Linked DNA regions of Canis lupus familiaris. Each later gene encodes a partner of the first gene's protein in a complex. Links are inferred from orthologs where the notes say so. Each region holds a gene or a part of one and is shown in the gene's direction. Other genes may lie near its edges.

Region 1 (4,355 bases):
TTCTTCCCTAGTTTATTGTCTCATGAATGCTTCTCTCCAGGAATCAAACCTGTTAGTCACTAGTAAAATCCCTCATGAATGCTTGCTCTCAGAAATTATAAAATTTGGGGTGCTATATGTGTATAACCTTATTTAATTCTCACAGCAACCTACTGAGATAGGGGTATTGCAGCCTACCATGGAGGTACACCGCATATCTACTATACTCACATTGTCCATTCTCTGGAGAGGAAAGGACACTGGAAATGGAGTTTATCATTGATCTTGCCTACATGATGAAGGCTCCATTAAAATCCCTGAAGGGGGGGTTCAGAGAACTTCCTGGCTGGAAGTTCTACCTACATATCTATCTCCTGGAAAGGGTGACACATCCCAACTCCACAAAGACAAAAGCTCCTGCACTCAGAATCTTTCCACACCTCACCCCATGTATCTCTTCATCTGACTGTTCATAGGTATCCTTTATCATATCCTTCATTATATAATAAACTGGTAAATGTAATTGTTTCCCTGAGTTCTGTGAGCTATTCTGGCAAATGATCAACTCCAAGGAGGGGGCTGTGGGAACTTCTTTTGTAACCAAATCATACAGAAGTTGTGGGTAACCTGGGAACTTACTACTCACTATTGGTATTTGAAGTTGAGAGCAGTCTTGTGGATTTAGCCCTTAACGTACGGGATCTGCACTAACTCTAGCAAGTCAGAATTAAATTGAATTAAAGTGTAGGACATCCAGCTGATGTCACAGAGAATTGCCTTGGTGTGTGGGGGAAACAAGACCCATGTATGTAGTGTCATAAGTATTATGTGTGTGAGTAAAGCAAGAGAGTTTCTCCTGTATACTCCTAATGATTTTCACCTACTAAATTCACACCTTTGTTTAAATTTCTCTTCTTGAGCGTGGGTTAAACTTATGCACTCACTTCTACCACATAGAACACAGCAGAAGTGATGGGATGTCACCTTCAAGATGAGATTAGAAAAGGCTATGGCTTCCATTATGGATGCTTTTCTCACTTGCTCTCTCACTGTCTCCTGTACCTTGTGTCACACACTGAAATGTGTCTCTCCCAAAGTCTGTATGTTGAAGTCCTAACCCTTAATGTGATGGTATTTGGAGATGGGACCTCTAGAGAAGTAATTAAGGTCAAATGAGGACATAAAGGCTGGTGTCCTTATAAAAAGAAGATGAGACATCAGAAATCTCTCTCTCCATACATGCACAGAATAAGGCCATGTAAGGACATGGTGAGAAGGCCACTGTCTAAAAGCCAGGAAGAGCACTCTCACCAGAAGCTAAAATTGTCAAGACCTTGACTATGGACGTCTAGCCTTCATAACTGTGAGAAAATAAGCGTCTGGCATTTAAGCTACCCGGGCTGCAGTATTTTGTTATGGCAGCCCAAGTAGACTAATACACATGTCATGAGGCAGTCCTGTGGAAAGAACTGTATGGCCAGGAACCAAAGCTTTTCAACAACTACATGAGTGAATTTGGAAGCAGATCTCCCTCAATCAAACCTTCATATGAGACCACACTTCTAGCTGACAGTTTAACTGTCAACTTAAGCCAGAGGCACTCAGCTAAGCTGCACCCAGATTCCTGACCTGCAGAAACTGTAAGATAACAAATGTTTATTATCATAAGCTACTAAGATTTGTAGTAATTTGTTATGCAACAATAGATAACTAATATATGGAAGTAATGCTCAGTGTCAAGAGATTAGGTAGATAAGGTGACTAACCAGAGAGTCAGCCCCAAATGCATTGCCAAAAATCAAAAATTTTTTAAAAAAGGAAGGAAAGAGTCAGAGCAGGGAACTGGGAATTCTAGTCTGCAGTCAAATAAAATATAGATAAGGAGGCAAAAGCAAGGAACAGACAACTGGCCAGGCAAATGAGAAGCCATCTTTGTAAATTCCAGAATGAGAGGGCCCCAACCTGAGATTGGATGCTCCAGGCCATAAGGTTTACTAGGTTTACTTCCAATATCCATAACAAATAGGTAAGGTGGTGTCTTAGTTTGAGTTATCCCAGAAACATATTTTGAAATAAAGATTCAAGGGAAAGTAGTTCATTCGGAGGTGATCCAAAAAAAAAAAAATACCACTAATGGAGAAGGGAAGTAAAACAGGAAAGAGAAGAAAGTGAATGGCATATTCTGTTCGGGCTGCTGTAATAAAATACCATAAACTGGGTGGCTCATAAACAACAAATATATTCCTCATAGTTCTGGAGACTAGTCCAAGATCAAGACCCAGGCAAATTCAGTCTGGTGAGAGCACTTTTTCAGGTTCCTAGATAGTGCCTTCTAGCTATTCTTCACATCACAGAAGGAGCTCTATGGGGTGTCTTTTATAGAGGACTTCACTCTCATGATCTAAGCGCCTTCCAAAAGTCCCACCTCCTAATACCATTACATTGGGCATTGAGTTTCAACATATGGATTTTGGGGTGGGAGGGAAGGTACACATATACATTTGGCATATAGAAGACAATAATGAACACGTCAAGGGAGGGGGAGGGCATGAATTCCCAGTACCTGTTGCCTATAAAGACATACATGTGCTAGTAATGGGAGGTTAGCTGTGTGCCTGGACATAATAAGCGCCAAGGGGATAAGAATGAGACACTGGGAGCATCTGCTACATTAGGCCCTCTGAAGAAGCCTATAATTGTCTAGGTAACAACTACATACAGTCTTTCTAAATGAAACCATTAAAAATTACTATCATGAAAACCTGTCAAAATGAACATGATTGTTATGCTTTTTTAAAGAGATTTGAAAGAGTAAATTCAAATGAACTCAATCTCATTCTTGCACTAAATCTTGACTTGGGTCAGAGACCTTTGAAAAGTTACTAACTTCTCTGAGCCTTAGTTTTCTCGCCTGTAAAATGGACGCAATAATTCCTACTATAGTTGATAATTATGAGATAAAGTATGTCAAATATGGAGAAAATTCAATTTTTTTAAGTTTAAAACTGCTACAATAATTTAGTGATGGCAAATGTGCCAAAGGATTGCTTAAACAAAATTAGTAACACTACATAAAGTCAATATTAGTATATACTATAGATTGGATGTTTGTCCCCCAAAATTCATATGTAAAGTACCTAACACCCAATGTGATGGTATTAGAAGGCAGGGCCTCTGGGAATTGACTGGATCATGAGGATGGAGACCTTATATAAAAGAATCCAGAGAGTTCCCTTGTCCCTTTCACCATATGAGAACATGACAAGAAGGTAATTGTTTATGAACTAGGAAGTACATTCTCAACAGGCACCAAATCTGCTAGCACCTTGACCTTAAACTTCCAAGTATCCAGAACTATGAGAAATAAATTTCTATTGTTTATAAGCCACCTGGTGTGTTGCGTTCTGTTAAAGCAGCCCAAACAGACTAAAATAGTGTCCTTGGAATAACAGGGTCAACAATGCTTATCAGTATCAAAATACTTAATCAATGAGCCATTGTACAGACAAGTATTTCTTACCACTTTCTTTCACATTCCAATGCTAAAATAACATAAAAAAGCCTAATGTTGTTTTCAGGCATATCCAATCAAAAATTTGTTATTTCTTTATTAAGGCTATTGTATAAAAAAGAAATATCCTATCAAAATGGTGAAAATTCATCTAAATAAGTTGGAATCCTTAGGGGAAAATGAGCTTTGCATGTGAAAAAACAAAATAACAGAGAAAATGGAGGAATAGCTCTCCAAAATTATAATTTCTTAAATTGTAAAACTGCACTGCATTGACAAAATTTGTCAGTATATAAACTAAAGGAAGGAAGCACCCTTTTTTTTTTTTTTTTTTTTTTTTTTGAGTTTGCTTCTGGAAAACTCAGAGCTGGAGATGAAATTTAAATTCACGAAGAATTGCCAAACAAGTAAAGCAGGGCTAACTGGCCAAAAATAAATAAACTAACTCCATATATGTGAGAAATGAATAGAAACACTATACATTCCTGTAAGTATCCCAGGGTTCATAAAAATAGTTCAAAAACCTCTGAAAATCTCTGATAAATAGACACAAATATTTAAGACACTTTAAAATTGGCAACACTATCACATGGTAGTGTGATACCAATGTGTGACAAACCAAATAGGAGGTTGTTACAAAGAGTTTGGGGTTTTGTGTTTTTTTAAGATTTTATTTATTTATTTGAGAAAGAGAACATGAGCAGTGGGAGAAGCAAAGGGAGAAAGACAAGCAGACTCCCTGCTGAGTGTAGAGCCTGATGTGGGCTCCATCCCAGGACCCTGAGATCAGGTCCTGAGTTGAAATTAGACCGAGCCACCCAAGCCACCCCCATGCGTTGGGGTTTTTTTATGCAAGTAAGAAAGA
Region 2 (4,173 bases), on another chromosome or scaffold:
ATGAATAATATGCTTTCAGATTAAGTACTTTAAATTAAATTAAGCAGTTAAGGGGATGGGGAAGTTGTTATTTTAGCGTCGTTAGGGAAGACTCCTCTGGGGAGAGGAGTCATTGAGAAGATGCTTAGTTGATGAGAGCAAAGATATGAAATGAAAATATTGTAGCCTAGGGCAGCCCGGGTGGCTCAGCGGTTTAGCGCCGCCTTCAGCCCAGGGCGTGATCCTGGAGACCCAGGATGGAGTCCCATTTCGGGCTCACTGCACCGAGCCTGCTTCGACCTCTGCCTGTGTCTCTGCCTCTCTCTCCGTGTGTCTCTCATGAATAAATAAAGTCTTAAAAAAAAGAAAATATTCTAGCCTATATATAGTTATAGAGGTGGGAACAAGTTTGGTTTGTTGGAAGAATATTGAGAAAACGTGTAGTGGCAGTGTTATCTGGAAACAGAAAACAAAAAAATGTAAAAAGAAACACAGAAACACCCTAAAAACTTGGACAAGATTGTTTTTTTAAGTTAACTGTGAAAACAGGAATTGGATGCTGTGTGGTCGGTTCCCTAACTTCCTTCAGGCATTAATACCATCTAAGAAAGGCCTTCCTTAACTGTCTTTTTACAAATTCCAACGTTATCAGATTTTCCCATCCTGTTACAATCATCGCCCCTTTTCAAGCATTTCAGAAAATTACCATCTCAGAGAGGCCATCTCTAACCACTCTTTAAAATTGCAATTCCCATTTACCCCCACCCAGCACTCTCCCACCCCACCCCCTTTCCGAATCTTTTTTCTCCCCAGCATTTATCACCGATAGATATAGATATATAGTAATTATTGTCCCTCCCCCAAGTACTAGGAACCATGAGAAAGTAGAATATAAAGAACCGTAAGAACTGGGATTTTGGTCCGTTTTAATTTCCGTTGTATTCCCAACATCTACTACAATGCTTGACATACAGTTGGCACTCGATAAATATATGTTGAATAAAAGGTAAGACGCTGTTCAACTTAGTCTGGACCAATTGTGTGAATTGACGCCAGGTTGGACTAGTATCGCATTTCTCGCTCTCTGAAAAGGGCTTCAAGCAGTCAAGTGGTGACGTTCTTCAGTTTTCAAAAACGGGAGAGCTAAGGTTCCCACAGTTCTCAGAACGCGAATTTCTCGCCACAATTCAAAATGGCGGAGGAGGGTGGGGCCTGTCACATGGTGGGCGTCACAGCAGCTCTCCTTTTCCAGACTGCTGGCCCGCCTTGCCGCGTCGTCTGCTGCCCCCTTCTTCCTCCCGCCGAGCCTTTTCGAGGAATCGCCTGGGATTGGCTAATAGGCTGGGAGTGGGGCTGCAGGGCCGGGACGCGGCATCATCACTTCCTGTTGTGGGCTGTCGTTTCCTGTCGCTGCTTGGTAACAATGGGGAAGATAATGGCTGCCTGAGCAACGTCTCGGAGCAGGCGCTAGGCTAGAGGCGGGTCTCAACCAGCGACTCATCGGAGGCGGGCTTGAGAGCAGCGGCAGGGGAGGCGCGCAGGATCCTCAGCGGCGGCAGCAGCCAAACCGACGGAGTCGGACCCGACACTAAAACCGAGTAAGTGAAGCCTTGGGAAATCCTCTTGAGAAATGGATGGAGAGCGAGGGAAAGACAGCGGAGCTGCAGCTGCCGTGTTCTCTCAAAATGGCCTGAGTCCCGCGTTGTGGCGGACGCTCAGCACCGCCTCCGGACCCCAGGCGCTGATTGCTGCGGGGGGCTCCGTGGCGTAGTCGCCGCTGCCATTTTAGTCACAGTCTCTTGAAGAAGGGGAAGGAGGTGGGTAGTACTTCCTCTCCGTGGCGGTGCGAGCCAAAGCCGGGGGCCCTCCACAGTCTGGAGAAATTGGGGGAGGCGATTTTTGAGTGTTGGCCTCAGGCGTGAGAATCTTTGATAGTCTTAAATTTTTCTCTTTGGTTATCTGGAGGCGTCCCTCGCCTTCCCATCCCCCCTTTTATATGGCGGGCTTGGGTTTGGGAAAAGGGGGAAATATCAGTCTGCTCTAAGTCAGCTGCTGGGAACTCTTGGGCCTTAGATTTCCCAGGATTTGCAAAACCCCATTTTGAGCCCTTTTGCTGGGTACTATCAATTAGGCGCCCCCTGGGGCCACGATGACATCTTCCCTGAGGATCCGGGGCAACTGTGGTTTTGCTCCCTTACTCAATAACCCTGGCATAGCCCTTGCCAGATATCACTGCAAGGATCCCCTGAAAAGGCAGGGAAAAGCCATTGCGTGTTGTTTTTTCCCTGGGTAAGGGTGGGAATTGGGCCAAATGATTTTCAACTTAATTTCCGTTCAATCCGGCAACAACCCAACCCCTCCCCCCTCAAAGAGAAAAGCCTAAGGGTCTCGGCTTTTGCGGGCGGTACCTGCCACGTACGCCATAGCTTTAGTAACTAGTATTAACCGGTTGGGCTTCTGCTTCCTGAATACTCAGTCCCTTTTTCCCTTATGCTGATTAATTTCAAGATGGAGGAGACAGCCACGTTCCTTCCCTAGACAGTTTCCCCATACTTATTCCACAGGTTACTCTGGGAATCTGAGGCCTAGCAGTCTTGTTATTTAGGTCATTCTTTTTGTTTGGGGGCAAGAGGAAGCATTTATATCAGGTTGTCATCCACCATTTGCGAGGTCCCACATTAATTTTTTGGTGCAAATAAAGAGCCCGCATTTCCTCAATCAGAATTAACCGCAGTCGCTTTGGATGATTGAAGGGAGGAAGAAATAAATGTACTATAGTCGTTTCTACTACTAGAAACATGTATTTGATTCTTCCTCATTAAAGACAAAATTACTCATATCACCCTATCAGGTACGTTATGTCCATCCTGAATGACTTGCGACCAGGCAGGCACAATTAGAGCCCTCCAAAAATCAGTTTTCTAGATTATAAAAATAAAGTACCCAGGAAGACCAATCCAGATGCTTTTTAAAGTATGATTTAGGAAACTGTTGCACTGAAAAATGTTTCATTCTTTAGCCTAAGTATCTTGATGATCTTTCATACTTTAGTTTCTCCATAGACTACTGTAATGTGCCAAGTAAGTCCTTGAAAGTATCAGAATCTGAAAATATTACTGGTTTGAAAAAGAAAGGCCTATTTTAAGCAAGCTTATATTAAAAGGTAGATTGGCTTTCAGCCTTTAAAGAAAATCTGATATCTAACACAAGATTCCTGGTTTCCTCTGACCTTCTCCATCTTCCCAAATATCCTAATTAGGTTGGGTTATGGGGTGTGTAACTTAAGATATATAGGATGTGTTTTTTTGAGGATGTGTCTATTTCATAGAAAATGTGTATCTTATGAAAGAGGAAGAATAATGGATTCTTTTTTTTTCTAGAGCAGAGAGTGAAGAAAACTAAAATCCAGTTTATTGTATTACAATACTATGTCATAACAGTCAGGTAATTTATTTTTTGTTGCGTCTCCTGATGATTTATGTGTAGAATGCATGTTTAAAAATATTTATTTTGTATTGCAGGCCCTGTAATTGGATGGGCTTATTTGATATATGTTTATTGGTGTTGGGCATTTTTCATAATGAGAATGGGTATTTTTCATTGGGAATTCAAAGGGTAGTGTGTCTGAATAACTGAAACTCTGCTAGTGTTTATCTGTGAATTTTCCTCTTTTAAAATAATGTCTGAAGTTTACCAGTACCCATATAAAACAGAAAGAACAAAATAGAAATTTGCTGCTTTAAATCATTGTTGGTGGGATGGGTCTAAATAAATAGCGTTTAAATGTTCATTGAATAACTAAATGAAATATCAGTAGAATATCTTGCAGGAATGTAATCTTACATTATTTTGTGTGGTGTTCATTTTTTTCCTTTAAGATCCAAAATGTCATAATTAATATATAATACTCTGATATTAACTCCTTTCATCATCATCATCATTGTTAAGGTAAGCACATAATTTATTGCCTTAACCAGGATGCTTTTTTTATGCCAACAGGTGCAAACCTGTATTGTGCCAAGCAAACGGGGATGGAGTTAGCCTAAATTCATAACTAACTTGAATGCTTATGTGCTGTGTCCTGTGCTTCACATGCATGACTTTATAATCTTCACAGCAAAGCCTTGTGAGGATATTAGCTGTTTTACCTAGTTAACTGAGACTCAAGGAAGTTAAACATTTTGTCCTCAATTA
Region 3 (3,555 bases), on another chromosome or scaffold:
GCCTATAGCCAGCCTCTCAGAAATGTGCATTTTATGTATTCTTGAGTTTTTGTTATCCTTGGCCTCAGACTTAAAACAGTTCCATTTTTCTCTGGCCACATGTATTTATTTGGATGAATGGAAGCTCAGTCTCAAGCCATTGATATGTGGGTAGTCAACTCTGTGATCATTATCCTAATACTTGACCAGAGCATTTTCAGTATCCTTGAGATAGAAGCCCAAGTGCTACAAGGTCAAAATTTGGACTACCTGTGGATAACCCTGCCCTGATTTTCTGAGACTGTGGCTTTTTGGTCTGACCTCTTTAGTTCTAGGAATGAGAATGAGCCCACCATGCCACAAAAATTTTCTAAAAATTTGGTCTCTCTTTCCTGCTTAAATGGATAATGTCAGTGCATGTCTTCATAAAACCTTTGGGAGGTAACTAATAGGTAAGTTCATCTAACAGTTGAGTGTTATGACTTTATCCTGACCATACCCATGTGCTGGACCATAGGTTGGAGAGCAGTGAAAAAATTAAAAGGAAGCCAAGACTTATGATCTCTCAAGTGAATCATCACGACCAAAGGTCCTAGGGTTTTTCAGTGTGGATGAAAGATCTTGGAGGGGAGAGAGCTATTTCTTAAATGGGAACCTAGGGGTGTTAAGGGCACAGAAACCTCCCAGGACTCTTGGGTTGAAATACCATGTTGAAATTCAGGCTACTTTTGGGCATTTTTCTTTGAGAAACTCTCTACTTTAGTGTTGATGGAGTAAGAGACCTACCTTTCTGTACCTTTGCCACCTATTCTCCCATTTGCAGAATGTCTCCTTAGGTGTGAATTTGGGAAATCACAATAGAGAGCAAACCAGTCAGCTACAAAGAGGGCTGAGTGTTGTATCTCCCACTGACTTGCAGTTGGTTCTATTGCAAGAGACTGTACAGGCCATTGTTTCCTAAGACCTTACCAGTCATCCATGGTAAAATGTTTTCCAGTACTTTTCTTTGGAATCATAGCTTGTATATTCTAAACAAAGGTGGGTGGCAGGGAGTAATATGGTTGGAGATAGTTTTTCTGGATTCTTTTCTTCCCTGTTAATGATGAAGTCACCCATTGAGCCATCACAGATGAGCATCTAGTTCACGTTACGTTTCATAGGAGATTGTCAGTGACACTCTTGGCTCCTTTCACCTTCTGTCCTGTATTTCCCAGTCTGTCCTGGAGGGAAGGCTAGTAAAGTTTGTGTAATTTTATATTCACATAATTGTGATGGATCCTGGTGGAGCCCTGATAATGATCAAAGTGTTGTCCAGGTCTATAGAAAGGACATGAGTCAATCTTTTATTTAGGTTTGAGCTATAATTACCTTTTTCTTTTGGAGGGCATAAGTTATCTGCGATAGCCGCGTTTGAGATTATCCTCCTTCCCTTTGCTAAAACATGACCTACTTATTTCTGGTAGTTATAATGAATTGTGGCTGGAATCAGTACTAGAGCTCAGTGTTTTGCTTACAGAGTTTGTAACCTTAAACCCAGTTTGCCCTAGTTGTCCTCCCACCCCTTTCCCCGTTTTAATTTGAGAGGTTCCAATAAGGTTAATGAGTAAAAAGTGCACCTACATACAAAGCCTTGCTGATATTATGGGTATTATTCTCAGGTTACTCTCCAGCCTCCTTAATTTACAGCCATATTTAATTTCCAGGTGACTGTAAAAGTCATGTAATGAAAGCTCTGGGAAGGACTAATGACTAATAAAACAGGTGGGCACTGTGGCTCTAGGAATTGATGACAGAGACTTAAACTCAGTCATAGGAGGGGGAGTACTAACCTTAATGTTCTGGAAACTTCTAGATCAAGCTTGCCGATTGATTCACACTACCACATTCATTGTGACAAAAACCAGGGGTTCCTGGGGCTTCCTTGTTAGGTAGAGCAGAGCACTGGTTGTTTAGAGGGCTAGTCACCCAGGGCCCATTCAGAGAAAGTAGAAAACTCTGCCACCTATGGCATTTGAATGCTTTTCAGGTTCCCCCTCTGATCTTAATTGCTACAAATCTCAAATGTATCGTCCAAATGCTCTTGGCTGAAAGAACATTTATGAAGAAAGAAATGGAAAATGCCTCCCTGATTTTTCATTTGTTCAGCAGCAGTTCCCTGCTTGGTTACAACTTGCCTGGGCAGTTTTAGGACACAGTGTACTTCAGGTTTCTCTCTGCATGTTAGAAATCTTAAGAAGGAAAATAAATGTCCCTAAATTGAACTTTCAACTGTACATATACAAGAGAAAATAATTTGCCAACAGGCAGCTACAGGCTACCAATCACTTTCTCAGCAGGAAGGAAAATTAAATCTGGCATTTTAAAAAAGTGCTTTTTATTTCAGGCTGGGTTGGGTAGCAAGGAGGGGGAATAAAGAGTAGGAAGGAAAAATATTGAATTTGCAGAGTCAGAAATGCAAGATTGGAAACCTTTCTACACATGTATGTGGGCCAGTTCAGTAATTCTAGCAGCACAGATACGGTGGTAAATCCAGCAGTTCTGACCATAACTGATGGCCCTTGGCTGATAAAGTTTACTGAGGCTTCCTCCTCTCCCAGAACCACCTGGAGCCACATTTTTATGCTAGTGCAGGAGAAGTGTTTGCTTGTTTTACTTGAGTACTTTGAATTTTCAACCAAGTGGTAGGTTTCCAAGGCATGGCTGTATACCCAGCTGTCTCATAGCTGTCTCTGTTCTTCTGCAGGCATCTTTCTTTGTGGTGTACAATATGGTGACAACAGAGGTGATTGCCGTGTTTGAGAATACATCAGATGAGCTTCTAGAGCTCTTTGAGAACTTCTGTGACCTCTTCCGTAATGCAACCCTACACAGTGAAGTCCAGTTTCCCTGCTCAGCTTCCAGCAACAATTTTGCAAGGCAGATCCAGCGCCGGTAAGCTCTTCCACCAGGCTTAACAGGCTTAATTTTTCTTTAGACAATTCACTGGTGTTAGGCCAGTAGTAATGTCCTCCAAAAAACCCTTCCGATATTCTCTCTGCTACCTCGCTTTGGTTAGGTCTGCCTGTTGTAATCCCTTGGGTCATCCTGAACTTCTGTCTCTCAGCACCTATGGAATTAGTTGTGCGTTATCTGTGATTCCTCCTAGAGGAAGGAGAGCAGTGTGAGAGCTGCCTAAGAGATGCAGAAAGGTAGAGACTATATCTTTATTATTTATTCTTATAGTCTCATGATGCACTGTCAAGCATTTAAGCATTTTTTCAGTGAATGACTAAGGAAATAATTTTAGAACTTTTGGTTAAACATGATGTGTTGAGCACATGTGTTTATCTCTGCTCCATCCCCAAACCCCACTAAAATGACAATAAAGCAGTAAGAGGTATACATTTAACAAGAGCAAAGAGAATGGGAGAGGAGAGACATTGAAGACGGGAGATGATTGGCAACAGGAGAGGGATCTGAATCAGTGTCGGGAGCTGATAAGCTAATTGATCAGCGGTAACCTATGACTTGGCACACTCCAGAGAACAAAAACTTAAGACTGCAGAATTTAGCCATCAAGAAACAGGTTGCCTTGCT

Evidence for each region.
Region 2: the proteins of UBE2E2 (region 1) and RLIM are in contact, whole or in part, in a crystal structure (PDB 6W9A), measured with the Homo sapiens proteins. The link is inferred for Canis lupus familiaris from reciprocal best matches to the Homo sapiens genes UBE2E2 and RLIM. Residues at the interface, in NP_001357154.1 of Homo sapiens: Lys52, Thr55, Lys58, Arg59, Lys62, Pro112, Asp113, Pro115, Phe116, Ile142, Asn146, Trp147, Ser148, Pro149, Ala150, Leu151, Thr152; in NP_057204.2 of Homo sapiens: Ser571, Val572, Cys573, Ile574, Thr575, Cys596, Arg599, Trp600, Pro608, Ile609, Arg611.
Region 3: the proteins of UBE2E2 (region 1) and DET1 are in contact, whole or in part, in a cryo-EM structure (PDB 9BJZ), measured with the Homo sapiens proteins. The link is inferred for Canis lupus familiaris from reciprocal best matches to the Homo sapiens genes UBE2E2 and DET1. Residues at the interface, in NP_001357154.1 of Homo sapiens: Ala77, Gly78, Pro79, Lys80, Gly81, Arg88, Ser89, Thr90, Gly101, Val103, Phe105, Phe123, Arg124, Thr125, Arg126, Ser134, Gln135, Gly136, Gln194, Trp195, Arg198, Tyr199, Ala200, Thr201; in NP_001137546.1 of Homo sapiens: Arg258, Phe259, Tyr261, Asp264, Thr267, Val268, Phe272, Glu274, Asp289, Pro290, Phe291, Ile292, His297, Arg298, Leu300, Val301, Trp304, Arg305, Phe319, Phe320, Gln321, Phe323, Asp324, Arg327.

What each region holds. Positions count from the first base shown.
Region 1 is NC_049244.1:20,995,026-20,999,380, reverse strand, and holds the start of UBE2E2 (ubiquitin-conjugating enzyme E2 E2), read left to right. Parts: upstream 1-1,516; 5' UTR 1,517-1,619; intron 1,620-4,355.
Region 2 is NC_049260.1:58,047,702-58,051,874, reverse strand, and holds the start of RLIM (E3 ubiquitin-protein ligase RLIM), read left to right. Parts: upstream 1-1,361; 5' UTR 1,362-1,577; intron 1,578-3,359; exon of another isoform or gene 3,360-3,423; intron 3,424-3,857; exon of another isoform or gene 3,858-3,927; intron 3,928-4,173. UniProt on the Homo sapiens protein: E3 ubiquitin-protein ligase.
Region 3 is NC_049224.1:52,246,099-52,249,653, reverse strand, and holds part of DET1 (DET1 homolog), read left to right. Parts: intron 1-2,722; coding exon 2,723-2,910; intron 2,911-3,555. UniProt on the Homo sapiens protein: Component of the E3 ubiquitin ligase DCX DET1-COP1 complex, which is required for ubiquitination and subsequent degradation of target proteins. The complex is involved in JUN ubiquitination and degradation.